Linked DNA regions of Lepisosteus oculatus. The main gene of each other region encodes a partner of the protein of the gene in region 3 in a complex. Links are inferred from orthologs where the notes say so. Each region holds a gene or a part of one and is shown on either strand. Other genes may lie near its edges. The genes, in order: smc2, ncaph, ncapd2 and smc4.

Evidence for each region.
Region 1: ncapd2 (region 3) and smc2 share a complex: the UniProt entries of both Homo sapiens proteins name them as parts of the condensin complex. The link is inferred for Lepisosteus oculatus from reciprocal best matches to the Homo sapiens genes NCAPD2 and SMC2.
Region 2: ncapd2 (region 3) and ncaph share a complex: the UniProt entries of both Homo sapiens proteins name them as parts of the condensin complex. The link is inferred for Lepisosteus oculatus from reciprocal best matches to the Homo sapiens genes NCAPD2 and NCAPH.
Region 4: ncapd2 (region 3) and smc4 share a complex: the UniProt entries of both Homo sapiens proteins name them as parts of the condensin complex. The link is inferred for Lepisosteus oculatus from reciprocal best matches to the Homo sapiens genes NCAPD2 and SMC4.

The regions. Positions count from the first base shown.
Region 1 is NC_090696.1:71,821,865-71,829,928, forward strand, and holds the start of smc2 (structural maintenance of chromosomes protein 2), read right to left. Parts: upstream 3,415-8,064; 5' UTR 3,275-3,414; intron 3,184-3,274; 5' UTR 3,074-3,183; coding exon 2,906-3,073; intron 2,694-2,905; coding exon 2,544-2,693; intron 2,417-2,543; coding exon 2,294-2,416; intron 2,101-2,293; coding exon 2,062-2,100; intron 1,195-2,061; coding exon 1,084-1,194; intron 997-1,083; coding exon 952-996; intron 676-951; coding exon 442-675; intron 1-441. UniProt on the Homo sapiens protein: Central component of the condensin complex, a complex required for conversion of interphase chromatin into mitotic-like condense chromosomes.
Region 2 is NC_090697.1:68,557,080-68,564,536, reverse strand, and holds the start of ncaph (condensin complex subunit 2), read right to left. Parts: upstream 3,351-7,457; 5' UTR 3,158-3,350; intron 1,816-3,157; exon of another isoform or gene 1,812-1,815; 5' UTR 1,801-1,811; coding exon 1,556-1,800; intron 269-1,555; coding exon 178-268; intron 1-177. UniProt on the Homo sapiens protein: Regulatory subunit of the condensin complex, a complex required for conversion of interphase chromatin into mitotic-like condense chromosomes.
Region 3 is NC_090718.1:3,616,622-3,624,330, reverse strand, and holds the start of ncapd2 (condensin complex subunit 1), read right to left. Parts: upstream 3,260-7,709; 5' UTR 3,086-3,259; intron 2,455-3,085; 5' UTR 2,275-2,454; intron 2,166-2,274; 5' UTR 2,031-2,165; intron 957-2,030; 5' UTR 895-956; coding exon 774-894; intron 1-773. Other genes in the region: ing4 (inhibitor of growth protein 4), read left to right, coding at 3,460-3,496, 4,814-4,885, 5,367-5,533, 6,582-6,696, 6,845-6,959, 7,185-7,329, 7,587-7,648. UniProt on the Homo sapiens protein: Regulatory subunit of the condensin complex, a complex required for conversion of interphase chromatin into mitotic-like condense chromosomes.
Region 4 is NC_090708.1:6,028,447-6,035,974, reverse strand, and holds the start of smc4 (structural maintenance of chromosomes protein 4), read left to right. Parts: upstream 1-4,124; 5' UTR 4,125-4,274; intron 4,275-5,645; 5' UTR 5,646-5,654; coding exon 5,655-5,796; intron 5,797-6,632; coding exon 6,633-6,823; intron 6,824-7,300; coding exon 7,301-7,492; intron 7,493-7,528. Other genes in the region: ift80 (intraflagellar transport protein 80 homolog), read right to left, coding at 2,726-2,760. UniProt on the Homo sapiens protein: Central component of the condensin complex, a complex required for conversion of interphase chromatin into mitotic-like condense chromosomes.

The DNA.
Region 1 (8,064 bases), on a different chromosome or scaffold from region 3:
GACAAACACAGAAACAGACTCACGCCAGGGCCAATTTCCACAGAAACCAGTTAACCTACCAGTATGTCTTTGGACAGTGGGAGGAAACCGGAGCATCTGGAAGAAACCCACATAAATGCAGGGAGAACAACCTCCAAGCAGATAGCACCCCAGGTCTGGAATTGAGTCCAGGGCCTCAGCACTGCGAGGCACCGAAGCTAACCACAGTGCTGCCCACACTTCAGCTCCTACTGTATATACAATATTTCAGTTCTGAGCAATTTTTAACTTATTTCCTGCAAAGCACCGCATAAAATATTTTCCTATCAGGAAGGACTTATAAAAGAAAACATTGGCCCACACAACCCGAGTTTCCATAAGGATTTTGCTCTCCTAAAAGCCATGAGTCTCTCTTTATACTCCAAAACGAACAATCAAAAAGCGAAGAGTGAGCTACAGCACCTGGTCTCTCTTGTCCTCCAGCCGAGCAATTTCCTGAGAGAGCTCCTTCACTTTCTTCTCATTGTCTGCCATCTTCTCCCGCAGCTTGACTGTGCCATCCTCCAGCACCTTCAGCTCTGCAGCCGACTTGGCTTTGGTTTCCTCGGCGCACACAAATTGATAGGCCACATACAGGCGAGTAAGATGCTCCATTTCCTTCAACACCTTCTGATACTCAAAGTACGATGATCGTTCCTACGAAACAAAGGCTTAGAAGTGGGTCTCAGGCCATGTACCTCTTAACTTGTCTTTTTCAAAACAGCCACTTTTTTTCCTGTTGTGAAAACATATACAAATGGGCATAATGATTCATCAATGATTCCAAACTTCTTTCACTGTTGTCATTTTTAAAAGATCCGCGTTTTAAGAAATACCTAGAAAAATAAACAAACCACCAGGAGTGCTACAGATTACAACCTACCAATGGGAAAAACACAATTCTGGACCACCCCATAACCTGGTAGGACTTACCTCCTTCAGCTTCTCTAGAGTTGGTGTGATCTCTTCTCTTAACACCTGTCGAAAAACACAAATATGTGGTTATTACTGTTACCATTCAGCCAGAATGAAATGAAGCTCTGCACACTGACAATGATACCGTACCGTCTGGATCTCTTTTAGCTTGCCCTCCTTCTTTTCAATAGTTTTCTGCGCACCCATCTTTTTGATCTCATACATCCTGGTGCCTGCTGCTTCTTCAATCATTGCCAGGATCTAAATAAAGAATACTCATCAATCCCAAAGACTAGGGGTACTACAGTACTACATCACACCATATTCCATGTTTTCAATGTTCATTTATAGCCACAATCTCTATTTATAATCTTATTGGCAATCGTCTTTACTTCATCCCCAGTTTAGTTTAGCAAAACCAGTTTTGTGCCCTCTGGGTATATACTTTTGATATCATTAAACTACAACTTCCTGTCAATATTGTACTGTATGTGTTGAATAACTATCTCAGGAGGGAAAAGTCTCAGCAGATAAGATATTAGCAAAAAGGGGCTCGCTTAATTTTTTATTTAGTCATTTTAGGGGTTTTAAAAACGAAAAAAATCCAAGGCAAGTTTGAGGGCATCATGTGACAAGCTAAATAGAACACCAATAACACACTATCGCCTCCAGTCTCCTATTCATTTATAAAATACACACTTGGGGATTTGTTACTTTCTGAAAAGTTATAAACTGGGTTCAAGAATGCTATTTCCTTTTTTCCATTTTTTATGGCGTTTTCAAACATAAAAATACTTTAATTCCTCATTGACATCAGTTCAGTTCCTACAGACCTACAGAACAATTAATGCAAAACTCTACCTAAATCAGTATAAAATGCTGCTATCCGGTTACAGTACATTAGATTAACTGAAATGTTTATTTAGTTACACTTTCATAAACAACACTGTCTTCTGTCCAGAAATGTTAAGGTACAATAACAAATATTTGTGGGTTGTTTTCTCATGGGTCTCTCCTGTGAAATATTTTAACGTGCAGATTTCTGCTCAGAGGAAAAAAAAGATGGTGGAGCTCATTCTGATTCCCTGAAGGGAAGAGATGCATAAGAAAGCAGCAGAGCTGACTTACCTCCTGGGGTTTCATGTTCAAAACTTTCGTAATTCTGCCCTGAAAAAATCAAAAGTGGTCCCAAGTTACTCGACACAAACATACCTTAACACAAACTATGCGTTTACAAGCAATTCCGCGCACATGTTAAGAAATTGCGCGTTAAAAATTCATCCTTCAAAGCAGGTCTTGAGATAAAATTCAAAACGATTCATAACAGGGACGTACAGGTATAGCTATCAATTATGCTCACCTGCATAATCAGAAAATGAGGATTGTTGACATTGAGCCCAACGGAGCAGAACAAGTCTTGTACCCGGTTGTTGTTGGCATTTACCCCATTTATGAGGTATTTGTTTCTCCCACCAATGACCACCTTTAAAATAGACGGGGGGGAAAAAGCACTCAATACAAATCTCATTTATTAAACGAATGCAATGCATTCTGAAAAAAAAATGAAACATACCAGAACTGCAGTCCGGGCTAATGATAAAAACAAATACCTGACGCGTAACAGTGATTTCGTCGTGGGTCTCAAACCCAAGGGGACTTTGCTTCTTGTCAGAGTTGTCAAACGTAATGGAAACAGAGGCCTTAGTGATCCCAGCTTGACCGTTTTTGTAGACCAGATCCTGAAGATTGGACGCTCGCACCTAAACGAGATTTCCAGGGATGATCTTTCGGTGACATTTATAATATATAACGTACTCCCGGTTTCCCCCCGCATGCCTAGGGACTAGCATAAAACACGAATTCATACTGCATCGGGGTGGGGGGGAACACACCGAAAAAAAAAAGTGAACCGCACAGTAAAAACTAGCACTGCTCACAAGCTAGTGCAAAGCGTACGGGCACCCGGCGCTACCTGAGTCAGGTTGGAAATCCCGAGCAGGAAACAGATGGAGTCCAGGATATTGGACTTGCCACTGCCGTTCAGACCGGTGATAGCGTTGAACAACGGGTCAAAGCCATTGATCTCCGTTCTCTGGGCGTAGGATTTGAAGCCTTCTAAGATGATAGATTTGATGTACATCTTCGTTTCAACGTTTTACAAATTCAACTCCCCGATGAACTTCATCCGCAGCTACAGGAAAGTTGTATTCTAGTGTCACCTCCCGAAGCCTTGTTTCAGCTCTCGATTACCTGGGATGAGGTGAAAAAAGGCATAAACGGTTGCTGTTATACATTCGCTTTCAAAACTGCGTTTATTTTTACCCAAAACGTGAATACATACCTCACACAATAACAAAACGCCACTGTTCCCTTACTCTTCCTGTGTTCAGCGAACTTGAATTTTGGCGGCAGGCAGCGCTGGTCCTCTTTGGTGTTCGATGCGCCTGAAATAATTTGAAAAGCGGTGTAGTATTACAGGTTTGATTCCTTTAATGTATTAAGTTAGAGATATATATTTTTTTCATTATACTGTGTCTTCCTAAAAAAATTTTTTTTTAAAAATTGAAATTCAACCATTGTTTCATTCAGGCATTATTTTGCCAGCTAAAAGGAAAATATTTGACGTCAGGTTGGCGTAGGAAGAGTCACTGCTGATTGGTTGTTTTGAGTTGATTGTCCCGCCTGCGTAGCGCTTTGAAAACAGAAAAGAGAGAAACCGATCAGTTATATATAGTGCTTCTATTATGCTACTTTGTTAATGTCGTATGGTTTTAAACAATAAATGGCATGTTTATTTGCATAATATGATTGGGGGGCAGCTTTAAAGGAATTCTCTGTAATTTAGTTAAAAATATATAATATAGCTGCGGAGTACGATACATACATAATTGTTGTAATGCGGCACAATAAGGACAAACACATTTTTGTTCGAAGCACTTCTCTGTTTCAGTTAAGGCAAAAAGACATGCCGCTTCAAATACCTCAGTTTGCTCTACGGTTGTGGTTAAGGGGGAAAAGTCCTCATTTCTCTGAAGGATCCGCACCCCTGGCTGTTAAGGGAAACCTTTGTTACCCTAATTTCTACCTCGTCTGCGCATATTTCTCAGCCTGACATTAACATCACCTGTATTTCAGTTTAGGTTCCAGTGAAATGAAGAAATGAGTGAACATTTTTATACCGTATTCGTATTAAATATCTATATCAGTCCCGTACAGGTGGTTGATGTCATTCAGTGGCGTTCACCGTTTACAACGTGGAAACTGCAGTCCTCCCTGTGCCATTTTGGCTCCGATTACTCGTGCTCATCAAGGTTGGGTGTAGACGACGATTGGAGCCAACATGGGACCAGTTTCCTTTCTTGTTTTTGTTAATATTATTTACCTGTATTAAGATTAACGTTTTTTTAATATTGAATTCGGGTTCTCGGGCTTCTGCCCTCACATGGGCTGGAACCCGGGTCTTGCCGGCTGAGCTAAAGAAGACTTTCTTTAGCCCGGGCGGCCAACATCACTGTAATGCGCAGGGGCGTATCCTTTGCTATGTACTTTAATGTTGGCTGTATGTGGGCATTTTTTCCATTCTATTGTAAAGGTTCAATGTTCTGCACGGGGTTATGTGAACTGTAATGATATTTAATTGTAATGATCTTAATGTTTAAGCTGTTCAGTATCATTTTCAGTCTGTGCAAAATACGATAAGCTAATTATATATTACAATATAAATCCTTATCCTAGAACCTTAATTTTAAAAAAGGCACTTTTCCTCAAATGGTTCACTAGTGTGAGTACATTGCTCCTTTCATCCAAGCTACAGGTTTTGTTTAATCTTTGCAAGTGTTTTACAGTCGCAGACTTTATTACAGAAATCTGTTGGCACATGAAATACAGAAGAAAACAGCCACTGTGTGGCAGCAGTACATTACAGTTGTGTAGCACATATTATTCTTTCGTAGAAATTGATTCTGTTTTGTTAAATGTCTTACAAGGGAATCAAACCGGATCTTACAGTGATGTTTTCTGGTGCACAATTACCCTGTTGGGAAAACTAATTTCATTTTCCATCTGTCTGCGTTATGCATTTTAAAACAGGAAATGACTAAGTTTATTCTTTAATCTCTAGAGCAGCAATATTCTTTGTCCAGCATTGATAACAATACTGAACACTATTGACTTCTTAAATTTCTATTTCTATAATGTATACATATAACTTTACTCTCCTTGATAACTTTCTTTATCATTTTCAACTGGGTACTTTGTATTGTGTCTTAATGATTATTTGTCATTTGGCCGTTTTCTATTGGTCTGCATCAACTGAGATAAACTGAGCAACTATGATCTACGCATGGCAATTTATGGTGACTGATATGTTAATACGACATATATGTGACATTTTTTTTACCCTACTTTAATTTCTGAAGAGAATATCCAACGCATCACCAGGACGGCTTTCTTTTGTCTTTGTAACGTTGCTCAGTTATATTAAGTTCTGTCAGTGCCAAAATTCAGTGGGTTCAGAACACAGCAACTGACTGAGTACTGACTGGGTCTGACTTTGTCAAACCCTCTGTCTTGACATTCCTGTTGAATTTCATATAGATGCCAAGATATCACTCTTGTTTTTTAAGGCCCAGAAGGGAGTACCACACCGTTATATTTCTGACCTCCTAAGAAGGGTACCCCGAGCCTGGTGCGGGTCTGTAGTTTACCCCTTCTTAGAGGTTATGAGTTGCTGTCCATAGAGCCTTTTCCTTCTGTGCACCTAGGTTACTGTATGTCCTACTCTTCCCAAGAAATCAGGAATTTGGAGGAAAAGAAAAATAAATCAGAAAAAGAACTGGCAACCAGACAGTCATCTCGATTTCCCTATTTTGCCAAATTTCATCCTGGTGGCACAAATGTTTAAAACCATACACTGTAGAGTGAAAGGACCAAACACTTGGAGTGCAGAAGCAGTTTGTGTCTTTGGCTGTTTCCTTGTCACTGTTTAATTGGTGTTGAATGTCTAAGTTTCAAGGTAATGTTGTTTATACAGGACTAAATAACGGAAGCAATTGTCTGGCAGCCACCTTGACTTATGCAGGTACTGTACTTTATTTTCTCCTTTGTTCATCCTGCATAAACAAATCCTGTTACTAGTGTTATACTGTACCTATAAAGTTTAGAGTTAATTAGTCGAAAGCTTTTTGTAGCAGAGGAGCTGTTATTATACAGTAGGTCTTGTCTCTCCAACCATGCAATCACTCAGTGGGAAGCTAGAAAGAATTGGTGCAGTCTGTGAAGTACACTTTTGAAGAAGATCCGCATGTAATTAAATCCTCCATGTCTCGAGTCATTTGGTATATCAATTCTTAGACAATGGTCATTTACATTTTGCAGACCAACTTATTCAGGCAGCCATTGTGATTAACATACTGTAGAGCACCATAAATGAATTGTCCTGTCACATCTCACCAAGCTAGTGGATCAGTGTAAGCAGCAGAAACACTCAACAGTCTTTGCAACAGTTAAGGTGCAAATGAGAAACTGCTTTTTTTTTTTAAATCTTCCTAATTTAATTTAAGATGGTTTTGCAAAAGGAAATTGCAAAAAACTTTGCTGTGACTCAGTTAATAGATTGTATCTGGTTGGAAGTAAAGTTAAGAGTCAGACCTTATTGAATAAAATACTGCTACAAGACTGTTTAAATCTGCTGAATTTCTGACACTGCCTCATTTGAAACGTACTAATACCCATTTTTATTTTGTTTCTATGACACATTTTAGCATTTTGAAAAAATATAAAAAATGTGTGAATGAATTAACCAGTTTTGATCTGATGTTTTCATTTAGAAGCTCTTTAATACAGTATAGTACTGTGGATTAAATGTAGACAATGTGGATGTTTTGCAAAACCACACTGATTAACACATTTTTTAAAGTTCCATCTGTTCATTTAACTTCACTTATATGTTTTCTTCTGCCTGCCTTACACAAATTATGGGTAATTAAACAGAATCATTTAAATTCACAAAAATGTACTTGCTTCTCTGTTGTTCAAGTATAATCTTTTCTTTTCAATATTAACACACCTGGGTGAATTTAGGATTATTGCATGCACAATATTTGACCCAACAACCCAAAATACAACTAAATATCTAAACATTCCAGGAAAATCTGCATTGTTGGGATGAAGTTTCCATTTAGGAATATTTATGTTGCTGTGAATACTGTGAAACTAATGTTAAGTAACATTTTCATCATGAGATGGCCTGAGAAAGTGTGGTGATTCACTTCATAAATGTGTACCTTTGGGTGTTACATTACCGGAGAAGCAGATCTAAACACCTCTTTGTTACAGATTGGCTCCGTAGTCCGTCTCGGGTGTTGTGTTTAGACTCCTTGTGAAGCGGCAAGAGCTGAAGGAAGCGGGAGACGTACTGTAGTTCGGGGAAAACACACAGTGGTTTAATAGTGCAACAAAGTAACTGTGACAGTTCGTGAAATGGTGAGCAGGGAAACAAAGACTGGCGTCCAAATCCAAGCAGGTCCGAAGGAGGGTCAGGGCACAATCCATGAGTCCAAAACCGGGAGACCCAGCCTGAGACGACACAAGGTTCAAATCCTTGTGAGTGGGAAAACACGAACATACTGTACATATCCAGGGATAACGGGGAGAGGTCAGGCGATGTCGGGGATGAGGCCTATACCCTCAGGCATCCAAATGCTAATACTGAGCACTGGAGGGAGATAAAAGAAGGCACACCTGGAGAATGCATTTCACTGTTCATTCTGAAGAATCCACTGGGTTAATTCTGCCAGTGCCACTGAGGACCTTGAACACTTGTATAGGGCCTCCTTGTAGTTTTCTCTGTTAAAGTATAAAAGGGTTCTGGTTGCTCTTCTCTGAACTGATTCCAGAGAAGCAATATCATAATATCTTTTCTATAACGTTGTGACCACAGGTGTCTACTACCCACCCCCATACCCTCTCTCAACAACCAGACAAGCTTCCGTTTTGTTGTTTTGTTTTGTTGGGGAACATGGAAACATGGAAACCCCTGCAGAGACACTGACTCTCACAGACATGACTTGACAACCCCTGACATACTGTAGAGACACCAACAAACCTAATCAGAATCTCTCTGGGAGGTGG
Region 2 (7,457 bases), on a different chromosome or scaffold from region 3:
ACTCTGGGGTTATTCTGTCAAATTTAGGTGCAGTTATTGTCAAGCTATCCACAGACAGTACTGTTTTGGGTAGAACAAAAAATACATTAAGGGAGATTTCCTTTAAGTGAACATAGTGGCCCTCACTGCCATAAGAACCTGTGAAAACAAGCAAATCATCAGTGACTCTCTACTCACATTCTCCGTAGAAAGCTTGATGCAGGTGGAATAGTGCTCAGAGATCTCGGAATTGGACAGTTTGGGCACTGCAGCTGGAGTACCTGTACCACTGAACACATTCCGAGAAACAGAACAGAATTTTACCACAACATAAACCCCTAACATGAACATGCTGGAGAAACCAAAGAAGAAAATTTCTGTTGCAAATTCATTTTGCTTTAAAAACCTTGTACACATCTGAGAGGCTCAGAAATATATCAGAAAGACAAAGGGTCTGGACACCAATCTGTCTCCCCAGGAGATCTCTTTGATCTTTTGATCAGGCTGCTGAGTGAGGCTATATACACTGGATCCCTGCATGCAATGTTCAAAGAGCAGCGCTACCTCTGTTCTCTTTCTTTTTCTTTTTCCCATTGACAACCACTTTTGTGCAATATATGCCAGGGACCTGTGCAATACATTTATATTGGTTACATCTATTGGTTACATCTATGGTTACATCTATATTTATATTCATACGTGTGATACGATTTTCTGTGTACTGTTCTGTTCTAGTTTCCTCTTGTGTGTCCGGACTGTGAGTAACTCTTGTATTGTATTGTATTGTATTGTATGTATTGTACTATTAGTATATAATTCGTTACACTGTGGCTGTGTTGTGTGTGTTAAGCTGCTGTTGCACTGCAATTTCCCTCACGGGATCAATAAAGTATCTATCTATCTATCTACACCTTTTTCTGCTTTTCTGAAAGCCCATCTGTATGTGAAGGTTCACTGATGTAAGAGAGAACTTTCCCTTTGTTTTTCTGGGATTCCCCCAGAACTCCACACTGAGAACAATTCTAACTGCTAATCCTACAATGATGGACAGTATAACTGACGTGCGATACCACTGCTTCAAGAAGCTCAGGCTTTCCATCCCTTTTCTAACCACTTCATGCAAAACAGAGTCGTGGGGGTGCCGAAGCTGGAGCCTATCCCAGCAAGCAAGGGGCACAAGACAGAAAACACCCTGGACAGGATGTCAATCCATCACAGGGCACGCACAGACACAAACACACACACACACCAGGGCCAGTTTTCCCAGAAGCCAATTAACCTACCAACACGTCTTTGGGCTGTGTGAGGAAAGTGGAGCACCAGGAGGACATCCAGGCAAACACGGAGAAAACATACGAACTTCACACTGATAGCTCCCTGGAAACTGTGAGGCAGAAATGTTAACCACTGCGCCACCGTGCCACTCGCTTAAATAAATAAAAAAGGATCTTGGAGGTATTTAAGCAGGAGAGCCCTACAGGAAATCTACTGTAATGTGCCACCTTGCCACCCACAGTCACACAGGGAAACACATGCTCATGAAACTCTGTGGCCTGGCTGTAAGCCCCCGGCTGACCTGCGCGCAGGGGAATCCAGCAGCGAGCCATCCAGGCCGCTCATGTGCAGGTCGATGACCTTGGAGCGCCGCCTCTGCCTCTTCTCCAGGTCGTCATCGTTGCTGGGGCAGCTGTTGAGCAGCGGCTGGTGGGCGACCTGCACCACCTTGGCACGGGTGGAGGGCGAGACGAACTGCTTCCCGGGCAGCATCTCCGTGAGGACGTGGGAGCGCATGCCCAGGCGGGGGGTGGAGGAGGCACTCATCGCGGCACAGGCTGCCTCGGAGAGAGAGATGGCACAGAACAGCACTCTTAGACAACCCCGAAGCTGGCAATAAGAATGAGGTACGCATGCAACTTCATATTTAACAATCCCCATCTCTGAATTGGCTTCATCACTCTGTCCTCCTCCCCACTCATAGCTGATGTGAGGGGATCGTTCTGGCGCACTATGGCTGCCGTCGCATCATCCAGGTGGGGCTGCACACTGGTGGTAATGGAGGGGAGTCCCCATTACCCATAAAGAGCTTTGAGTAGAGTAATAAATAATAATAATAATAATTAGTAGTAGTAGTAATAGTAGTATAGTAGTACAGACCATCCCTCAGACAGCGCTTAACATACAGATCCAGCCCATATTACAATGAACAAATCTAGCATAAGTAGAACTCTACTAGAATATTTCCTCATCCTTGGAATATCTATGAGCTTTTTGCATGATATACAAGGTCTAGCTACAAAGTCAGTGTTTCCTCCATTTTATGGATGGCTCTTCGTCACAGTACAGTTAGCACTTTTATACTTTTACGACAACATGTCCTTGTCTGTCTGTTCAACTGAGCAATAATTACAATTAGTCAAGCTCTGTTACACAAACAGCTAGAACAGTACAAATACTCAGAATGCATTATGAAGCACAAGCTTTAATTTTCGACCGACTTCCTGTTGAAATCATAGGTAGCATTGTACAATTAAGAGTGGAGTAGGGATTAAGTACTGTATAAAGTACTTTAACCAGATTATTTCAGCAAGTCCACCTTTAAAAACAGGTAAATGTAACTTCTGTGAGTCATTTTCTATAAAAGTCAACCTAATAAGGAATTACACTATTATTCAACCCCAGTAAGAACACTGTTATGGACAGTTAAAATACAACTGAGGTTAGGACACACCGGCCTGACTGTTACAATAGAGAGTCGCCCAGGGACAGAAGAGGCGAAACATCCGGAGTGCGATGTTTGTTTTGGTCTGTGGTGGTTTCTACTGCTGTATTAACAATTCTACTGGATAATCGAGATACATTATAAATATAATTTTAACGTAACGAGCGCACATAACCGTGCGTACATTACTTGCAGTTTTATAAGCGATCGCGTCATATTTACTGGTTTTGCCGAGATGTAAATAACTCGAAACATCACCGAAATTTCTCCTCTGAAACCAATTTTTACGAGCACATAACTTCCAAATTGTTGAGAAAAAATATTGTTATCCCAGATACATATTTATTGGAGCTATATTTAAGTTATATAGCTCTGATTTTAAATTCCAATTACTGTTTTGTATTAACACAATTCAGATCACGCACCGGGATCAGAAAAAAAAACTTTAAAAAGCCTTACCGTGATCTAGATCCTGTTTAACCGAAGGCTATATAAGCCAACACTAAAAATAACAAGATTTAAAAACCCCAAAAAACACCACCAATAAACTGTTTGTGAATATGATGGATAATATGTTATACGATGTTACTTAAGATTGCTCAGTCCTCACTTTTTGAAAATTTGCGCCGACACAATTACGCATGCGCACGCACATCGGCGCGATCGTAAAACGTCATCACGTATAGTCAAAAACACGGTTCTCATTTGAGTTTCCTGCTCTGTAGGCAAGTGGGTGGGCTGTAGGTTTTGTGCTATTAGTAAATGCAGGAAATATTGTACAAAGGAGGCCCTGGCGCTATTTATAGTGCACATTTTCCCTTCCCTAGATATTTTATAAGAAATAGCGCGATAAAATGGTGTGCGGATGTTTACCTAATCCTTTATTTAACCAGATAAATCGCTTACGACCTTGATGGGAACCCCGGTGTAATATTATCTATATCTGTATAATATTATCCAGGTATAATATTAACTATTATATGGTATAATAGTTCTAGATGTATTAGTAACGACAGCAGTTAGCTTGTTTTCCTCTTAGAGAACCTAATTAGATTTTAGACTACACTAGGTGTTAGGTACTGTTAACATGACAATAATAATAATAATAATTGCTTACACTTATATAGCGCTTTTCTGGACACTCCACTCAAAGCGCTTTACAGGTAATGGGGACTCCCCTCCACCACCACCAATGTGCAGCATCCACCTGGATGATGCGACGGCAGCCATAGTGCGCCAGAACGCTCACCACACATCAGCTATCAGTGGGGAGGAGAGCGGAGTAATGTAGCCAATTCATAGAGGGGGATTATTAGGAGGCCATGATTAGTAAGGGCCAATTGGAAATTTGGCCAGGACACCGGGGTACACCCCTACTCTTTTCGAGAAGAGCCCTGGGATTTTTAATGACCACAGAGAGTCAGGACCTCGGTTTTACGTCTCATCCGAAGGACGGCGCCTGTTTACAGTATAGTGTCCCCATCACTATACTGGGGCATTAGGACCCACATGGACCACAGGGTGAGCGCCCCCTGCTGGCCCCACTAACACCACTAACACCATGACAGATTTGCATAACCTGACATCCCAGCTATCATCAGTTGAGATGATTATATGTGATAAGTTTTCATTACTGAATTGTGTAAGCAGCATGAGACACGCGTGCTTGAGTCTGACAGAAGAGGCAGCGTGTAAATAGTGGTCCTTTGGGAATCTAATAATAATTATTAATAATTGCTTACACTCATATAGCACTTTTCTGGACAGTCCACTCAAAGCACTTTACAGGTAACGGGGACTCCCCTCCACCACCACCAATGTGCAGCATCCACCTGGATGATGCAACAGCAGCCATAGTGCGCCAGAACACTTATCACACACCAGCTCTCAGTGGGGAGGAGAGCAGAGTAATGAAGCCAATTCATAGATGGGGATTATTGGTAAGGGCCAATGGGAAGTTTGGCCAGGATTCCGGGGTTACACCCCTACTCTTTTCAAGACCCTGGGATTTTTAATGACCTCGGTTTTACATCCCATCCAAAGGACGGCGCCTGTTTACAGTATAGTGTCCCCGTCACCATACTGGGGCATTAGGACCCACATGGACCACAGGGTGAGCGCCCCCTGCTGGCTCCACTAACACCTCTTCCAGCAGCAACCTTAGTTTTCCCAGGAGGTCTCCCATCCAGGTACTGGCCAGGCTTACACCTGCTGAGCTTCAGTGGGTTGCCAGTTGTGAGTTGCAGAGTGATATGGCTGCTGGCCATATCTGACCTGGAAGGGAGTGTAGGATAAGTCCCCAGGTCCTGCAGCAACACTGGACAATGTGAGTGTTCAGCCACTGTAGGCTTTTCACTGGCCTGAGAACACAGCCCTGTGCAAGCGCAGCTTTTAATTACATACACAGCCCCTCTCCGAGCACTGATCCTCCAGCCATATTTACCTGCATGCCCCAGTGGGCCCAATTACGCTCTGGGATTCAGAAGGCATGTTGTGTTTTTTTAACCAAGCCAACTTTCAACTTTTCCATTTCCTTAAAAGACTTAGAATTGCACCTGGTGAGGTCTCCTCAATTTGAATTTTTCTGACTGAAAGCCTGAGGGAATTTTCAATTTTGTCACAACTGGAGATATTGGCAGCGGGGGGAGTGCAGAGCACTGGGTTGCCAGAAAGAATTATTTTAGCAGAGTGTCTTTCAAGTCCCGAAAGGGTGGGTCCAGCAAGATTAGTGGATTTGATGGTGTCGAGGGGGTAACGGGATTGGGAGATGTATAAATGTGCCCCAATTACTAATTATGTGAAATATCATTTTTTTGCATTCGATACATCTAATATACCTTTATTTATATTTACATTATTTTATATAGAAAGAATTACAAAAAAATCTGAAAATGTGATTGATTTCTGCTTCTAAGAAAAAGTGTACTTTAGGTTGAAATGTAATCATGCCTGATGTTAGCTTTGATGCCACTACAGGTAGGTTACGTTTTGACTGTGGATGGAACCTACCTGTTAGCTGTCCTGGCTGCTTGGAAAATTACGTGCAATTATGCATCATTGCCTATAGGTGGGAGAAAACATGCAATACAGTTTTCCAAAACAGTTGCCTATTTAGTTTATTCTGAATGTTCAGTTCTGTCGTTTCTGGAAGCAGAATGATACCAAGCTGTATTAACACAAGAGTTCAATGTTCTTTACATACAGTAAGTCTGAAACTCAGTTATTAACATTTGATAATTTTTATGCAACATTTTTAAATGATCTAAAGTGAATTTGAATCAACTAGCTTTCTGAAAGAGAAGACCTTTTTAATAACCTCAAGAAGCACTAAGCAACACCTGATAATTTGTTGAAAAAAGTACCACGTACCAATTCAGTAGGATTCCTTGTTATTCTTTCTGCTGTTACAGAAGGGCTTCTCCACAATTCTTTTAAGAAGGGATGAAAATAATTACCAGAGATGGGTAAAGTACATTAAAGTATGTTTAGACAACAGTGCAATGCTAATTGTCCCACACGTTTCAAAATCAGCTTTGAAATCTAAGCTGTGGGGCACATACTGTAATAGATGAAAGAAGCAACAAGTCAAACGATTAGTTGAATGGCCTGTGTATGGGATAATAGTGGTTCACAAGATGTCAGAATAAACACACCTGGCTCTGTTGCGTCCCTTAGTCAGGTAATTACTGAGATGAGTGGTGGGTGTCTGGAACAGGCAGTTTTGACAAGCTGTTGGAGCAGACACTCTGGGATCTTGTACGGCAGAATTAAATTTGTGAATGCATTAGCTACTAGGACCCAAGTGGGCATGATGGGCCTTCTCATTTGCTGCCCATACAGTGTTCTTATATTTTTGTGTATTCTGTATAGGAGTGTTAAAACTGCCAGGTTATTTGTGAATGAGATCCCCTCCAGCACCAGAAATTGCACTGGAGTATATGGGGAAAAGACATCATCATGACCCTTAGGAGGGGGGGATCTGTAATGTTCTCTAATACACCATAATGCAGGATAATAATTCCGGCTTGCTCCAGGCAGGTTGGGCTCAGCATAATATTTATGGAGTGTGTCTCATTTTGCTTTGTGGCTCGCAGACGAGAGTTAAAAGCAGCTGCTGATGTACTGAGCATCTGACAGGCCATGGAATGATAGCTTCACTGAAGGGGTAATGGGTTATTAATAATTTCACATGAAAAGCCATCAGAAAACCCAGCCAGGCTATTTTGTTTGGAAGGGTGGTAGGGAATGACAGTTAATGATGAGGTTTGTTATTACCATCACTGCTTTTATTATAATTTTCCAAAATATGCTTCGAGTCCATTGTTAATATATGCTTTGAAAGTTTAGGAGAGGGGGTGGTGTGCCCCTGTTTTGGATCAGACATTTATTGGGCATTCCTTCTGCTGGCATGCTGTACCATACATTCTCAAGCACACACAAAATAAAACTCAAAGACTAAAGTTTGAAGAAGATTACTTTTGCTTTTGTTCACAGATCATTGAATTCTGCCTCCAACCTGCTCTTTTTAAAAAAATGGAGCAGTGCACCACTGAGCTAGAGTCCTCCAGTGTGCAGGTGTTTTTAGAATCAGCTTAAGTCTCGGTTGTTCCACCAATAAGAGCTCCAGCTTTTCCTCTCTTTGTTAACGTGAGGCAAACTCATTTACTGATAATTCCTTGAAAAACAAAACGCACTCGTGAGTACTCCTCAGATTATTTTTTTGTTTCCATCTGGAAACAAAAAAGTACGCTGCATCTAG
Region 3 (7,709 bases):
TTTGTGTGCTGATACTAGTCTGAGCACAAAACCACGGAAAGTGCTTAAATGTCTTTTTTCAAAAACACTGAATTGTTTCTTTATCATGCATTTACTGTCCTTCAACCATCACAAGAGCAGGACAGCCCCCATAATGTCAGAAGAACATGGGATAGCTGCTCTGCGCTAGATCTCATCATATAAAAAAAAACCTTTTTGCAGCAGTCATCAGACATTTACTTGATCTTTACCCAACATCACACGAAGAAAGGAAGAATTTGTGCCTGTTTTCCTGGTGTGTGATGGAAGACTGAAGTCAGAGCAGTACCTTTGTAGAGCAGCCACTGAACTACATAAACATTGAAATACACATTGTATAACAGACAGGGAAGAAAGCAGAGCAGAGATGTACTTGTGGCCAAATTGCCATACTGGAAGGCCTTTTCACGGTTAGATTCGGAGATTAAGTCACAAAGGCAGTGATGCTGCTAACCTTTCTGCCACAATCACCCAACCTGACATTTTGGCTTCCGCAGGAAGGGCAGTCCTACAACATAACCTGCAGGGAGAGTGCAAGGCACTCGCCAACACAAAGGGGAAACTGCATCGCAAACCAATCAGCACTGAAATGGCTCTCCAGAGACTGCATAAAACAGAACACACTGTGCAACAGAAATAAAGAGCCACCCCACCAACGAGCACGTGGAGCCACCTCTCAGGCTTAACAAGCCCATGAGAGACTTTGAATCCAGTCATATGTATAGCCGGGTGTGCACCTCCCTCTCCATACTCACTCTGGACATGGCCGGCCAGCTGCTTGGGGGACAGGACGTCCTGGACCACATACTGGTTGATCGCCCCCGTCTTCACCAGGTCCCCCAGGCAGAGCGGGATACAGAAGTCGAACTGGGACATGGCCGCCTGCGAGTGTGGGCACAGAGCGCGCGGAAACGCACAGCAGCGGCTCAGATGGAGAACTGGATCGAGTGTGAACGAGGGGCGGAGAGAGCAACAAAAAGCGAGAAGGGTTAATAAACCTGAGCTCAAACCACAGGGGTCACCCAGTTCCCGGAGGACCTAGAGTACCGGTTCCCAGTCCTGGCGATCCACACACCTGTGGGTTTTTGTTCCAGCCGAGTCCCCGGTCACACAATCAGTCCCTTCATTCACTTAATAAGATTGATTTGAACCGTTTGTTTCCAGAGCTTAAACATGTGGGACCAGAAATCAGCACAAATCCTACAGTCTATGTGGGTCCTAATGTCCCAGTATAGTGATGGGGACACTATACTGTAAAAAAGGCGCCGTCCTTCGGCTGAGACATGAAACCAAAGTCCAGACTCTCCGTGGTCATTAAAAATCCCAGGGTGTTTCTCAAAAAGAGTAGGCTGTTACCCTGACGCTAAATTTCTCCCTGGTAATCCCCATCTCTGAACTGGCTTCACCACTCTGCTCTCCTCCCCACTGAGAGCTGGTGTGTGGGGAGAGTACTGGAACATCATCCAGGTGGGGCTGCACACTGGTGTTGCAGGGGATCCCCATGACCTGTAAAGCACTTTCAGTGGAGTGCTCATAAAAACACTATATAAACGTAAGGAACCATTATTATTATTGTCGTTGGAGCTTTAACCCTTGTATTTTCTAAGTGACATAAAATAACAAATTTGAGATTAGGAACAAAACGTAAATCGAGAATTGAAGCAACTTCTTGGATCAAGTAAGAGGCTAATCTGCTTTTTGGGCTAACCCAAATCGTCAACTTGACCCTTACATTTATATTGACAAACACAGGAAGCTGATGACCCCCTAACGTTGCTTTCCTTAACGTACTGGCACCTATAAAAACTTTCTGGAGCCAGCTTATAATATTTATTATTAAGTTCATTAAAATAATTAGACTCCATCGGGTCCAAAACGGAGTCATAACCTGAAGAAAAGGCGGAGAGACGGACGAAAGACATCACACAGCCACCAGCTCTGACGATACCATACTATTACGACGCCAGCAAAATATATATATATATCTCAAGAAACAAAGAAATCCGACTTACCGCAGCGCTTCGGTTTTCTTATTGAGGTTTCTGTAATTTTCTCTGGGGCCCCAGAGAGTTTCCTTCAAAACGGCAAATGTTCACTCGCTTCCCACTAACTGCTCGGCTTCGCTCCCTGAGACTCGCATAAGACGCCTGGTAAACAAAGTATAAAAATAAATTTAAAAGCGAGAAGTAAACGTTTTAACCCCGTTTTTCTTACGGGTTTAGCCGACTGAAACAACGTATTTAAAACAAACGTTACCTGTAAACCTCCAGGCCAGGCAGCGGCTAGTCGGCTAACAGCGGTTAGTCGGCAGCCGGGACATTTTTTGAATTTTCTCCCGCGCCAATGGCTGCGGCGACTTCCGTCCACGTGCTCCCAGCATAGGCTGAGGGAATAGAGCCCTTTCACCGCGGCGGCCATGTCTGATTGAAAACGAGGCTGATGGAGGAAAACAAATTCAGCCACCGCAAAGCACCGATAGCCAATACTGCTGCTGTTGTCTCATCTTAAATAGTTTTTTTTCTAGCTTTCACAAAAAAACGGAATAAAAAGCAAGACGCGGTGAAAACGTAGACGCGTAATACATTACACCGTTCGATACACATCTGCAGAAACTGTTTGGTTTTGTTAATGAATTAAAAAATAGATTTGAATGCTTACACACCGATGCACGTTTTAGGGTTTTATGTGTAAATTCACCATAAAAGATAAGATTTCTACCATTGCAGATTTACAGCCTTAAACAATACCACCGATTATTTTTGAACGTTTTGAAGATCTAGAAAAAAAAGTTATCTATTATTAACTTTAATCTAGATCTTTAATCTAAATTTAATCTAGGTCCTAGGTCCTAAATTAAACGGCTAAAAAACACAATATAATGATAGTTGTTCGGAAACGTTGAATTTATTGCTAACATATCAGTTTTCTTTGTGAAAATAAATAAATAGCAGATGTTTCAAAACAATTTGCAGTTACTTTAAGATTTATAGTACATTGCGATATATCCGTCCCCCCACCCCATATCAATTAATACAAAGTAAACAACAGTGTAGTTCATGAAACATACACAAAAGATCGATGATTTTGTGCAATGAACTTCTGTAAATACTCATCACCGGTACTGTGCAGTTAGTAGCGTCACGTTTGTGGATGGGAGCCGAACTGCAGGAGGTAGGCAGCAATGAGCAATTTCCATAAAAATTAAAGCCGTCCTCAATATTTGTTTTCAACAACATTTTTAGTTCTGCGTGAAAATGCGATGTAACAGGCAAAATAAAATATTCAAGATATTCTGGTCCGCTGTAAAATAACCTAAAAATTAACGTCGAGAGGAGGAGGGGGAAGAAAAAAAGATTTCAACCACCTCACCCGCAACCCTCTCTCTCGGCTCTATATCCGGCCGGACCGGAAGCGCCTTTATTTTGTTTGCAGCTTGTCAAGATGGCGGCTGGGATGTATTTGGAGCATTATTTGGACAGTAAGTGATAACTATCATTATCCCTTTCTGAGAAAATCGATTATTTGGAAGTATCCCTCGGATACTTAATGCAGAAGAAAAATCTTCCATGGTTAAAAGTCCTTGTAGTTTGGTTTTTTGTACCTCGTATTGTGGTTTTCCAGTTGAAGCGCAGTTTGGATGTGTGGGTTGTACAGCATTTGAAAATCCAAACGGGGATATTGTGATCAAATGCAATTTCAAATGGTATGCTGTTTTGGAATAAATGGCTGTTCTTGTTTTATTAGAAAGGACATCATGAGGAGTGAATGGTTTTTGCCCATGGAACGATTTATTTACAATGTGCATTAGTGTATAACGGTAGATGTGTTTACAATTACTGATGTAGTTTATGTCAATATGTGGACAAATGAGTCGCCGATTTATAGTTTGAAATTGAGCAATGCGTTTTAAAATCCATATGGGGCTTATTGATAAAGAAAGTACTGAAAAGGAGAGCAATAACAGTCTGAACGTTGATGATTTAGCTGGCTTCTTTAAACAGACCACCAATCTCCGCTGTTTAACGTGGAGTTCACGCATTAGAAGTAATCGGTCTTCTTTAAAGTTGTCAGCGTTAGAGCAAAATGCAGGACTTTTGTGGAACATTCAGACATACAGGAAATGTGAAAGCGATTAGCTGATAGACATACAAGGACTGTAGTGCGTAACTCACGCCATGGCAGGCGTGCAGAAGAGCTGAAAATGTTTATCAGATTCATTTTCAGTCATTGTTTTTGAAATTGTTAAAATAAAAGTAGGCGAGTATAGACGCAGGGGTTTGCATTGCTACCTCACATTGCACTGCTACCAGGACTATTCCTGGGATGCTGTCTGTGTGGAGTTTGTATGTTCTCCATGTTTTTGCATGGGTTACATCCAGGGGCTCTGGTTTCCTCCCTCAGTTCATTGGCTCCTGGGAAAACTGGCCCTGGTGTGTGTGCCCTGCGATGGGTTGGCATCCTGTCCAGGGTGTACCTTGCCTTGTGCCCATTGCTTGCCAGGATAGGCACCAGCTCCCCCACAACCTTCAACTGGAAGAAGCAGTTAAAAGATGGACAGAATATCATAGAGAGCTTGTTCTGCGCAAACCGAAGTCTCTGCCTTGAGCTCGTGGTGTCCGCAACATTTCAGATATACAGTGTAATTTGTTTCTGATCAGAACATGAGTACTGTAAAACCTGGAGTGGATTACCCTGCTGTGCACTCGGAGTCTGAATGCAACACGGTACTCCCATTACTGTACACTAGGAGCTGGATACCGGCACTGCAGCTGTAATTATTAATTTTTTCCTGCAGGTATTGAGAATCTGCCCTTTGAGTTGCAGAGGAACTTCCAGCTGATGAGAGACCTGGACCAGCGGACTGAAGGTACCAGCGAGAGGTGGGGGTGGGGAGAGAGCGTATAGCAGAGCAGGAGAGAGGATTGGACACACGGGGAGAACAGACACTACCACACTGGGTTCCAGAGAGGGGATGCACTCTCAGAAATCCTTACTAAAGCAAATATGCATTTACAGCCCTTCCAAAATATCAAGGATTGGGTTTGACACCCTTTGGAAAACCACATCCTAATGGTAGTCTAGTACTGTATTTAGGCAGCTGCAGTAAACATAGTCTGTGACTATAAGAACAAACATAAATAGTTTATACTTAAAGTGCAGCATATTCCTATGTGATGTAATGCTAGTGGTGGAGGGGAGCAGCAGACTATAAGGACCACTGTATCCCCATGTATGTTGACCTACATGGGTGATATAAACCATTCTGTAATCTCGGCCTCTCGTGTCTTTCTCCTCACTTCTTTTTCCTCTCCCTGCCTCTTCCCTTGCTCTGTCCCCTCCCTCCTCAGACCTGAAGGGGCAGATCGATGGCCTGGCACGAGAATACACAGCCAACGCGCGCACCTTGTCCTCAGAGCAGAAGCTCTCCCTGCTGCGCCAGATCCAGCAGTCCTACAGCAAGTGCAAGGAGTTCGGGGACGACAAAGTTCAGCTGGCCATGCAGACGTACGAGATGGTGAGTTCACCCCCAGCCGCCGGCGCTGCCCCACGTGTTTTGATTAGGAAACTGGCGTAGTTCTGAGCCCTGGTCCTGGTTCTGTATCATTTAAAAATTGCTGGAACCCATGAGCCTGACACAGCTGTGAAGTTTGGCTTCCTGGACATTTTATGCTGGGGAAAACTCTGTTTTGGGCACTCTCAGTGAGTTAATGAGATCTGTACCATTCACAGTCACTGTGACGGTGCTGTGGGCACTGTGGGGCTCTCAGGTTTGTCATGGAGAGCTGCACCACTCCTCCAGTCAGTGTGACTGTGCTGTGGGCACTGTGGGGCTCTCAGGTTTGTCATGGAGAGCTGCACCACTCCTCCAGTCAGTGTGACTGTGCTGTGGGCACTGTGGGGCTCTCAGTGTTGTCATGGAGAGCTGCACCACTCCTCCAGTCAGTGTGACTGTGCTGTGGGCACTTTGGGGCTCTCAGGTTTGTCATGGAGAGCTGCACCACTCCTCCAGTCAGTGACGGTGCTGTGGGCACTGTGGGGCTCTCAGTGTTGTCATGGAGAGCTGCACCACTCCTCCAGTCAGAGCTGAAAAAATACAACCAGGTAATTTTGCTGTTCTGTAGTTTTGGTTGCTTGCTCTACCACCCCATTGCAATTCCCAGAAGGCCAAAGCAGAGGAAGAAGACTCGCAGCACGCCGTTACTTTTACGTTTTCTTTTCAGGGTTGGGAATTGCTCTTTTTAAAAAAAAATCAAACTCCCGATTTGGAAACGCCGGTTTTCAGCTCTCGCCTCGTGAGCGATGGAGCCCTTCTGTGAGAAGGACTCATGTGGACGCGCTGCTCTCACGCCACTCCTCCTGGGACACTCCGCCAGCCCCACAGGAGAGCTTGTGCCCATTGGAGGAGGGGGGCGCCCCTTGCTGACTCGAACCCTGGTCACAAAAGCGACGTGACCCAGACTGGATGTCCTGGCGTGTCCTGCATTACTTTGTGCCCGTTAACATACTGCACTGTCAGGGAGGCCTGATGTGACACGGTCTGACCACCACCTGCCCCCTCGCAGGTGGACAAGCACATCCGGCGACTGGACACCGACCTGGCGCGCTTCGAGGCGGACCTGAAGGAGAAGCAGATCGAGAGCACCGACTACGACTCCGCGTCCAGCAAGGGCAAGAAGAGTGAGTGGCCGGGACGTGCTGGTATTGCCTGGGGTCCAGCCGGGCGCCCCCGGCGATCCTGGTTTGCCTTCTCTGGTGGTGGTGGGGGTGCACGGGTCACCCTCGCCCTGGGCTCCGCGGCTGACGACTTTCTGTCCCTCTCTCCCAGCGGAGTCTCGGGGGCCGAAGGAAAAGAAAGTGGCCCGGACGAGGTCGAAGGTCAAGAACTCGGACGACGACAGCAGCCCCAAGAATGGCCAGAAGAAAGTCAAACTGATCCACACGTCAGTGTCTCACCCACATTTTTTTTTGTCTGTCCTCACTTCTCACTCTCCTTGTTACCCTCCATCTCAATCTTTTGTCTGCATCTCTGCCTGTCTCCCCATCTTCGTCTTTGCTACGTTCTCCGTGGAATGAAGTTCTGTCTGTTTGCTGTGCTGTCTCTCTGTGCAGTGTTTACACCCTTTTCTGATTAAACCCCTCTCTCTCTCTCTCTCTCCGACTTTCAGGGGAGAATACAGCACCCCCTCCGTGAATTTTGGGAACGTTCACCCCTCTGATGTACTGGACATGCCTGTGGACCCCAACGAGCCCACGTACTGCCTCTGTCACCAGGTTTCATACGGAGAAATGATCGGCTGTGACAACACCGACGTGAGTGTCCAATCGTGCGTCTGTATGTCCTCTGTGCGTCTCCATGGTTGTGCGTGATGTGTGTTGTTTCACTATTTGGCTTGCGAAGCATGTTGGTAGTATTAGGTGTAGTGTCACTGTGGGCAGGGCATTGTGCGTCTTGTCAGTATTAACAGCGCAGGGCGGTGATGTCTCTTTGTCGTGGTGAATTACTGTGCTGGGTTGTGCAGGATGTGAATTAACAGCGCGGTGTGGTGCAATGTGTGTTCATGTTGCAGTGCTCCATTGAGTGGTTCCACTTCGCCTGTGTGGGACTGACTACTAAACCCCGAGGAAAATGGTGAGGGAGGGGCAGGGAGAGGAGGGGACAGGCTGGAGAGCGGGGGGGGGACTGGAGGGGC
Region 4 (7,528 bases), on a different chromosome or scaffold from region 3:
TGTACACTTCAAAGTGTGCATCAGACTTCTCATCTGCCACAGAATGAATTTCTGGTCAATGAAGCGTGTTTTTAACTTCTTTAAGTTGAAAAGAGTAAAGGACTTTTACAGCAGAATTAAAGACCTGAGTCCTCATTTGTATAGTCAATTGTTTTATGTGTGTATCTCTACAGTCTATCAATATGGCAGACTCACAGAAAAATAAATCCAGCCTACTGTTTATTCCCAGTACCATATATATGACTTAAAATACTTAAAATATTAAATTAACATTAAACTCCACCCAAGTTAAACTTGTATGACATATATCCACAGCAATCATTTACGATCTGATTTAACTGTAATGTTATTATCTAATTACACAAAAGTTCAAAAAAGAACATACGATAAAACATAATCGTACTTATATTAGGAGGACAAATTTAATCTTAATCTTGTTTCAAAATATTTTTTTAGGTGAGAATTTTTAAGATTCATCAGCATACGCACTTGGGATATTTATGTAAATGACAATAAAAGTTAAACTTAAAACAAAGTCAGTATTGAAATCTAATATCTCTCACTAGTTATTAAACTTCTAAGCAACAGTGGCCAATTATGGTTGTACAGATTTTTGTTTTCTTCATAAATTTCAAATTGGCTCTCTTTAAAAACCGGGAAATTAAGGCAATCTAAAATTTGTTAAACTCAGTGGGGCAGATAAGGCAATCGCTATAGAACCCAAACTTTGGTGGTGCATCAAGCGAGATGGCACCCTGACCTGTGTACTGTGTGCACTGAATGAACTGAAACTGTGCTTCAGATCTGTGCTTCATTAGTTACTGGGGAAATGTTTATGACCTTTTTATCAATAGAATGATACTTAATGTGGGACGAATATAGTAGGAAAGTATCATTATGGTGACAATAAAATGATTATTATAACACTGTAATCATCATAAATAACTCTGGCCGCCATTTTGTCAGCCTGCAGCACAGTCTGAATTGACACATGGCAGACTTCATTGACTTCCAGATCTTCTTCAGATCTGCATCTCACAAGTTGCTGAGACAACTATTACATCCCTACCTATTACAAGGTCAGCAACATTTTGTCAAAACACAGAACATATTTCAAACTTCTACTACTTAAAAAATATGGCTGCCCAATGAACTCTATACTTGCCAAGTATCACTCCAGTAATAGTACAATTTCAATATGGCAAAATGGGGTTCCTGTATAAACCAGGATGAGCTGATTTCCATTTTGTTAACAACAATGGCCCATATTGCCCACAGTGCAAACTTATTTTCGAAAACTGTTCGATCATTTACCTCCAAACGTAACAGTAAGGGTGGGCGATATGTTTAAAAAATCTATACCACAATATTTAAATGGTACAGAATATACACATCATGATATTGCGTAATGTTTATCAAGGTTCGGTAGTATTGCAACCTTATTGTAATTGGGTACTCGGAACAGAGAATGAATGGAAATCATGGTACATGGATTTTTTTTAAAAGTAATGGCAATATTTTCTCAGAATATTAATGATGAAATCTAAGTTAATAAGACATTATAAGCTTCAGTTCTCGTTCACTATTCCCCCACGTTTGGGACAGGCATTGACATTGGCAGTGTCCTGGGGTGATGCTATAAACAAGGTAGTAAACAGAAAGACAGCTACAGTATACCAGCGCAGGACCATTCCAAAGGAAAGGCAGTATTTGCCTGAGGACAGCATTGTAAAGGGCAGGAAATGTGTTTGCTTTAATCTATGTCAGCATTCCAGCTTCCAGTCAAACATTTTATGTTATAAAATACATCCTCATGGTTAAGGCACAGTACAAGTAGATTGGAGGAATGGTATATAAAGCAGATGGTAATGATTGATGAGCACAATTATTTATGTGAGTTAATAGATTATAGACGTGATATAATTCAAAACACTGTACTGTAAATTCCTGGAAATTACACAAAATAAGTCAAGAAGCTGGTATTAACACAAGCAGCAACTGAAATTTCCAAAGTAAACGACAATCTTGGGTTATCAGAAGGTGATTTAAGAATATATAAGAAAGAAGAGAAAGGGGTTCTATTTTAAAGGATGCTTCATTTGAATTCCGTTATGTGATATACATCACCATATTGCCCAAACTTACTTGGCAGACATCAATTCTAGTGACCATGCAGTTACAACATGATGAAATAAGGCTCCACTGTAAATTAATATGGTCTCCTGATCGCTTTTTTTATCAATATTCGAACCGCCCCAGTCTTGGGGAAAAAAACTTCACAGACTGAATTGAAACTTGGGAGATTTCATCAATACCCAAATCTGATACTTATCTAGGAAGAAACTAACATATCCCCCACTCATTACATGGGTAATTGATTTCTAATGTTTGTAAAAAACACTTTTCTTCCTCACACTATAAACAACTTTAACAATGTCACATCTCAAACTAAATCAGAAACTGGCTGTATGATTTTTTACGTTGAACAACAAAGTTAGTTTGAATTTTAGGACTCTATATTATTATTCTGTTAATTAACTGGTAACTTCTGGAGCGATACAGAAAGGAAGAATCCTATCAATAATCGGAAATCCTTAAATCCTACATTGGATTTTTAAATACATTTCAAGTACGTGCTTTGGAAGAAAATGTCAGGAACAAAATAGCATAGTTATGGTTAGTTTTATTCTTTACAGCGTTCGTTACATATGTTTAAAGGATATGTTTAGGCTCCTTCAAGATTGATGTCTTTAATCTCATGGTAGCGATTTATTAGAAGCCCGTGTCACTTGTATACTCAGGACCTATTGGGAGAGGATTAAGCAAAATAAAAAGAAAAGAAACAGCTATTATCTCATCATAGGTGTCTTTATTACAGGAAAACATAACCGTCCACAGCTCCAATAAATTGCAGAAAATTAAAGATTAAGCACCTGGTCTACATTTTATATTTTTATGTCTGTTTCCTGTTATTTTACGGTTGCACGTGTGGGATTTTTCTTCAGGTTCAATACATACAGTTAACGTTTACATGGTTTATAAACGTTTATACTTCACACTCTTTGTTAAAATGCCACGTTAAAACATCTTGAAGGTTTATTTAAAGTGAGAACAGGGTGTCGGTAAACTGCAGTAACGTCCGGTAAACACAAGCAATAAAATGAAGATAATAATAATGGCGTGCATGCATGTATTAAAGAACAGCTCAAAGTTGAAAAGTGAAATTTGGGCATATTTAGGAATGTGTGCTCCCAGATTTTCTAAGTATTTATTATGTAAATTACGTTGTGAAAAACAACGTGAATTGTAAACCACAAGTGGGTATATATAACTTTACGTATGTTATCGACCCGCTGTCATTGATGCATAAAAAATATCTGTTGATATATTCATTTGCAGAATAATAAAAACAAGCATCCCGTTGCTAGGGCAATGAAACTTCCTGGAATATTTGTAAAACAGTACCAAACACAACTTAATATTATAAAGTCATATCTAAAAACTCCATTTATTTTAGTATGCCAATCGACAATTTTCACGGGTTAAGGAAAAAATACATGTGTACTGCACAAATTTCATTAGACTACGGAAAAACTTACCAGTCTTCTCTGGTTGAGCCGTCTTGACTGTATCGCGAGACTAGACACCCCGTTTCTTTGGCAACGAACCAAGCAACAGAACGGAAGGAGGAAAAGTGTCTTTTAAAATAGAAATAACAAACCTAATGTTATATAAAAATGATTTTCTGCGATTGTGAATTAAAAAAGACCAACGTAAAAACAGACATTAATAATATGTATGTCAAAACTCCTCCCCCGCCGCTCTCCCGGTTTCTAGGCAACAGACCTAAGACGTAATGACAGATAAGTCGAAAATATATTGTAATTAAGTCCGTTGTTATTTTTATCTCGCCATTCAAGGGTGTTCGCACGGGGTTTGTAAGTTAAATGATGGGACTGACCTTGAAAAATCTTTAACAAGGGTGTTTATGAAAACGGTCAAGAGCTGGCTTCGGCCCCCTTTTTTTTTAAATTTCTTATTTTCTCGCCCGGCGCAGTTCCCAGGATGCCTCGCGCCGGTTTGTAACGAATTTCGGTTTGACTTCAGCTTTTCGGCGCCATTTTCGAGTGAGGAGCTGCGCTGGGAGTTGGGAGTGGGGATGAGAAGAGACTGATATTTTACACATTTGGGCTCTTTTTCTGTTGGCCTCCTTCCCTGGATTGCGTTAAAAACCTCTTGAAAAATACGGAAAAAAATTAGGACACCGATCTGAGGTACTTGGGTTTCTTTGTGACGTACAGTTAAGGGTAAACGCTGTTAGAGCAAGAATATTTTTAGCGGGACGGATTCTAGCAGACTTGACGGACCGGTGAGGAGGAGGAGGGGGGTTATTTGTAAACACATTTGAAGGACGACTCTTACAGTGCTTGCTAAAAGAAAGCGTTTATCTGGTGACTGAAAATTACTCTAAAGCTTTGCTCCGGCCGAATTCACATAGCTGTTAGCTTTTCAGTTTCTTCGCATCTCACACTTGTTCGTGCCTGTAGCTGTGAATGTTAGTTGTTTTTTTTTTTTACTTTCAGTTATCACTAAATGTTTATCTTGTCGGATTAAGCTAGTACTTTCTAATAACTCGTCAATCGGAGACCCTGGCAGTGAATTTATTTTATATCTGTGATTTCATGTATGTTAATGTTGCTTTCGTTGCATTGTTGTTGATGTTCCGAAGATTTTTTTTTAATTGAGTTTTTGGGGAACTTGATTTTTTTTGGGGGGGTTTCCAAGACTTTCTAAATCATTGACGTATTTGTATTAAAAAAAATACAAAAATAAATATTGACGATACACCCGTGTCGATAGATGAAGTCACAGTAGCGGTAACGGGGGTCGCTTTCGTTTGGACAGCCGTTTTGTGAGGTAGCACTTGCGTGTTTCGAGTATCGAAAATGAAGGAAAAAAAATCAACCGTTTCATTTGATTTTCCCCGTTGGTGGAGATGGTGGATCCATTGCGCGACAGAACTAAAACATTTTTACTACGATTCGAATCTGACCAATCAAAATTAACTTTTCTTCAACGCGTGCTAGAGAAAAGCCCACGATTGGCCGCCTGGAAACCTACGGGACTTGCATTTTGTTTGCAAAGATAAACTTGTAATTCTGGCTGTTGTGTGTTAGTAATGTGCGCTCCGGAGTCTCTGTTAAAGACGTCACGGGTTTTTTTTTCCTTCTTGTTATGTGGGGGTAACGTGACGCGGTGCCTGATGCGTGCAATCCAGTTATCAGTCCACTTCTTATTAAATGAAATCAGAAGAAAATATCTGCCGACGAATCAACTTCCTTTCCTGCAAATTTGTGGATGCGGCTAGATCATAGGATACACCATGCTGGGTTTTTTTTATGTTCAGGATGTTTTCCCCTTCAAAAAAAAGGATAATGTTGCTCTTTTAAGTGTGATGTGCACTGGTAGCCCTACCTAAGGTCTTCGGCCGAAAATGCGGGTTCCGTGGTCCTTTGAGACGGATTATCGTGAAATGCCCCCTTTGAGGGCTGACGAAGGAACTTGACAAGTGGAGAAGCGTTGCGATGGAGATCTGTCCTCCCTTCTCTTGGGGATTTGTTCTGATGTGAGATCTCCCCCTCCAGATTATAGCAATGCCCTCCAAAACGACAAAAAGCTCAACTGCTGCCCAGCCGAAAGGCAAAGGGGCGCAGCCCCAGGATGAGTCCGCGGACGAGATGGAAGTACCCCCTGGAGAACCCAACTCAGATGGCAGTGTAGCACCACAGAAGAAGGGTGAGTTACACTGCACTGCACTGCACTGGGGAGAAGGGAGTTGCTGGGCGGCTAAAAAGCACTTTTTAATGCACGGATCTGAGGAGTTGGGCATAGCAGTGTTGAATGATACAGTATTGTGATGTCCAAACTGTTTCCACGGACAGTCTCTTGATTTATTGGTGCTTCGTGTACTTTAGGTTCAAAGTTACCGGAGAGATGACAAGTTTAATTTTTTTTCCTGGAGTTCTTTCATGAACGACGTTTGTTGATTTTTTTACCCCCCACCTTTATCTGGTATTTGACAAGTAGAAATTTCGTGATGTCAGGAGTGGGTTACTGATGACCGAGTACTTTTCGATACTTTTCGATCCCTGTGTTTTAAGAGGAGGAAAGTTGGGAATTGGTCTTTCAGGGCAGAAACAATGATGTCCGTACCAGTGCATTGTCTTTCTTGTTAGTAATAACTTATGTAAGGTCTGAAGAGCTTGCAATCAGACGTTTGTTGAAATCGCAACGGTGTGTAATTTTTAAACAGCAAATCTTGCTATCCAAATTAGTTTGAAACTGTGCTTGACGTTTGTAAGAGTTTTATATTGAACATTTCTCGTGAAGACAATTAAAATGTTAATATTGTAAAAAAAAAATGCGCTTGAATGGTTGATTTCCAGCAATGTTATATCGACGAATGTTTAAAAGCGCACTGACTGAATTTGCACTTAGGATTTAACTTCCGATGTTTTTCGTTGTCTTTGTTCTGCCAGTGTGACCAGAACGGCGGTTGGCTTTCCCGCACCCCCACTCACGACACCAGTGTTGCTTGAAACTGAACTTTTAATGTCCACTTTTCAACTTAGATGCAGGTCCCGGAGCGACAGCAGACGCGGTTGATAATCGAAGTTTAGAGGAGATTTTGAGTAGCATCCCTCCTCCCCCACCCCCAGCAATGACCAATGAACCGGGGGCTCCTCGTCTGATGATAACTCACATTGTTAATCGCAACTTTAAATCATACGCTGGTGAACAGATCCTGGGGCCTTTTCATAAGGTAAAGACATGTAAAGAGAGTTGTAAATGCAGGGTATCAGATGGGAAATTAGAGAGCTCACTTTGCATTAAGTGTCCACTTTCTAGGTATAACAGTTTCCTAGCAGTTTTGGTCTCCAGAACCTTCTAAAAATGTATGTAACTAATATCTCTGGGTGGGAAATTTTGAGTGTTAAGTACAAATTCTGTCTTAATTTTATGTTGAGAAGGGGACTTATTTTATAAAATTGTTAAAATTCATAAACTATTTAAAGTTTCCTGTATATGCTTGCTTTGGAAAATAAAATGAACACAACTAGTGTGTTTTAGACAGTGGTGTATTTTCTTTTCTTTTGGATTTTCTTCCAGTTGTTCAGTAGAATGAAGTTTGCTTGTTAATCTCTTCATTGACATTCAACAGTTTCCTCACTACTGTGCATTTGTTTTAAAAAAAAACTTGTTTCTAAAACAATTCAATGGTTTTGTTTTCTTCCCTCAGCGCTTTTCCTGCATTATTGGTCCAAACGGCAGTGGAAAATCCAATGTGATAGATTCAATGCTTTTCGTATTTGGATACAGGGCCCAAAAGATCAGATCCAAAAAACTTTCAGTGCTCATTCACAATTCAGATAAACATAAAGATATACAATGTTGCACTGTGGAAGTTCACTTCCAAAAGATAATTGACAAGGTAAATATTTTATGTTTTTATCCCATTGCCAGAATG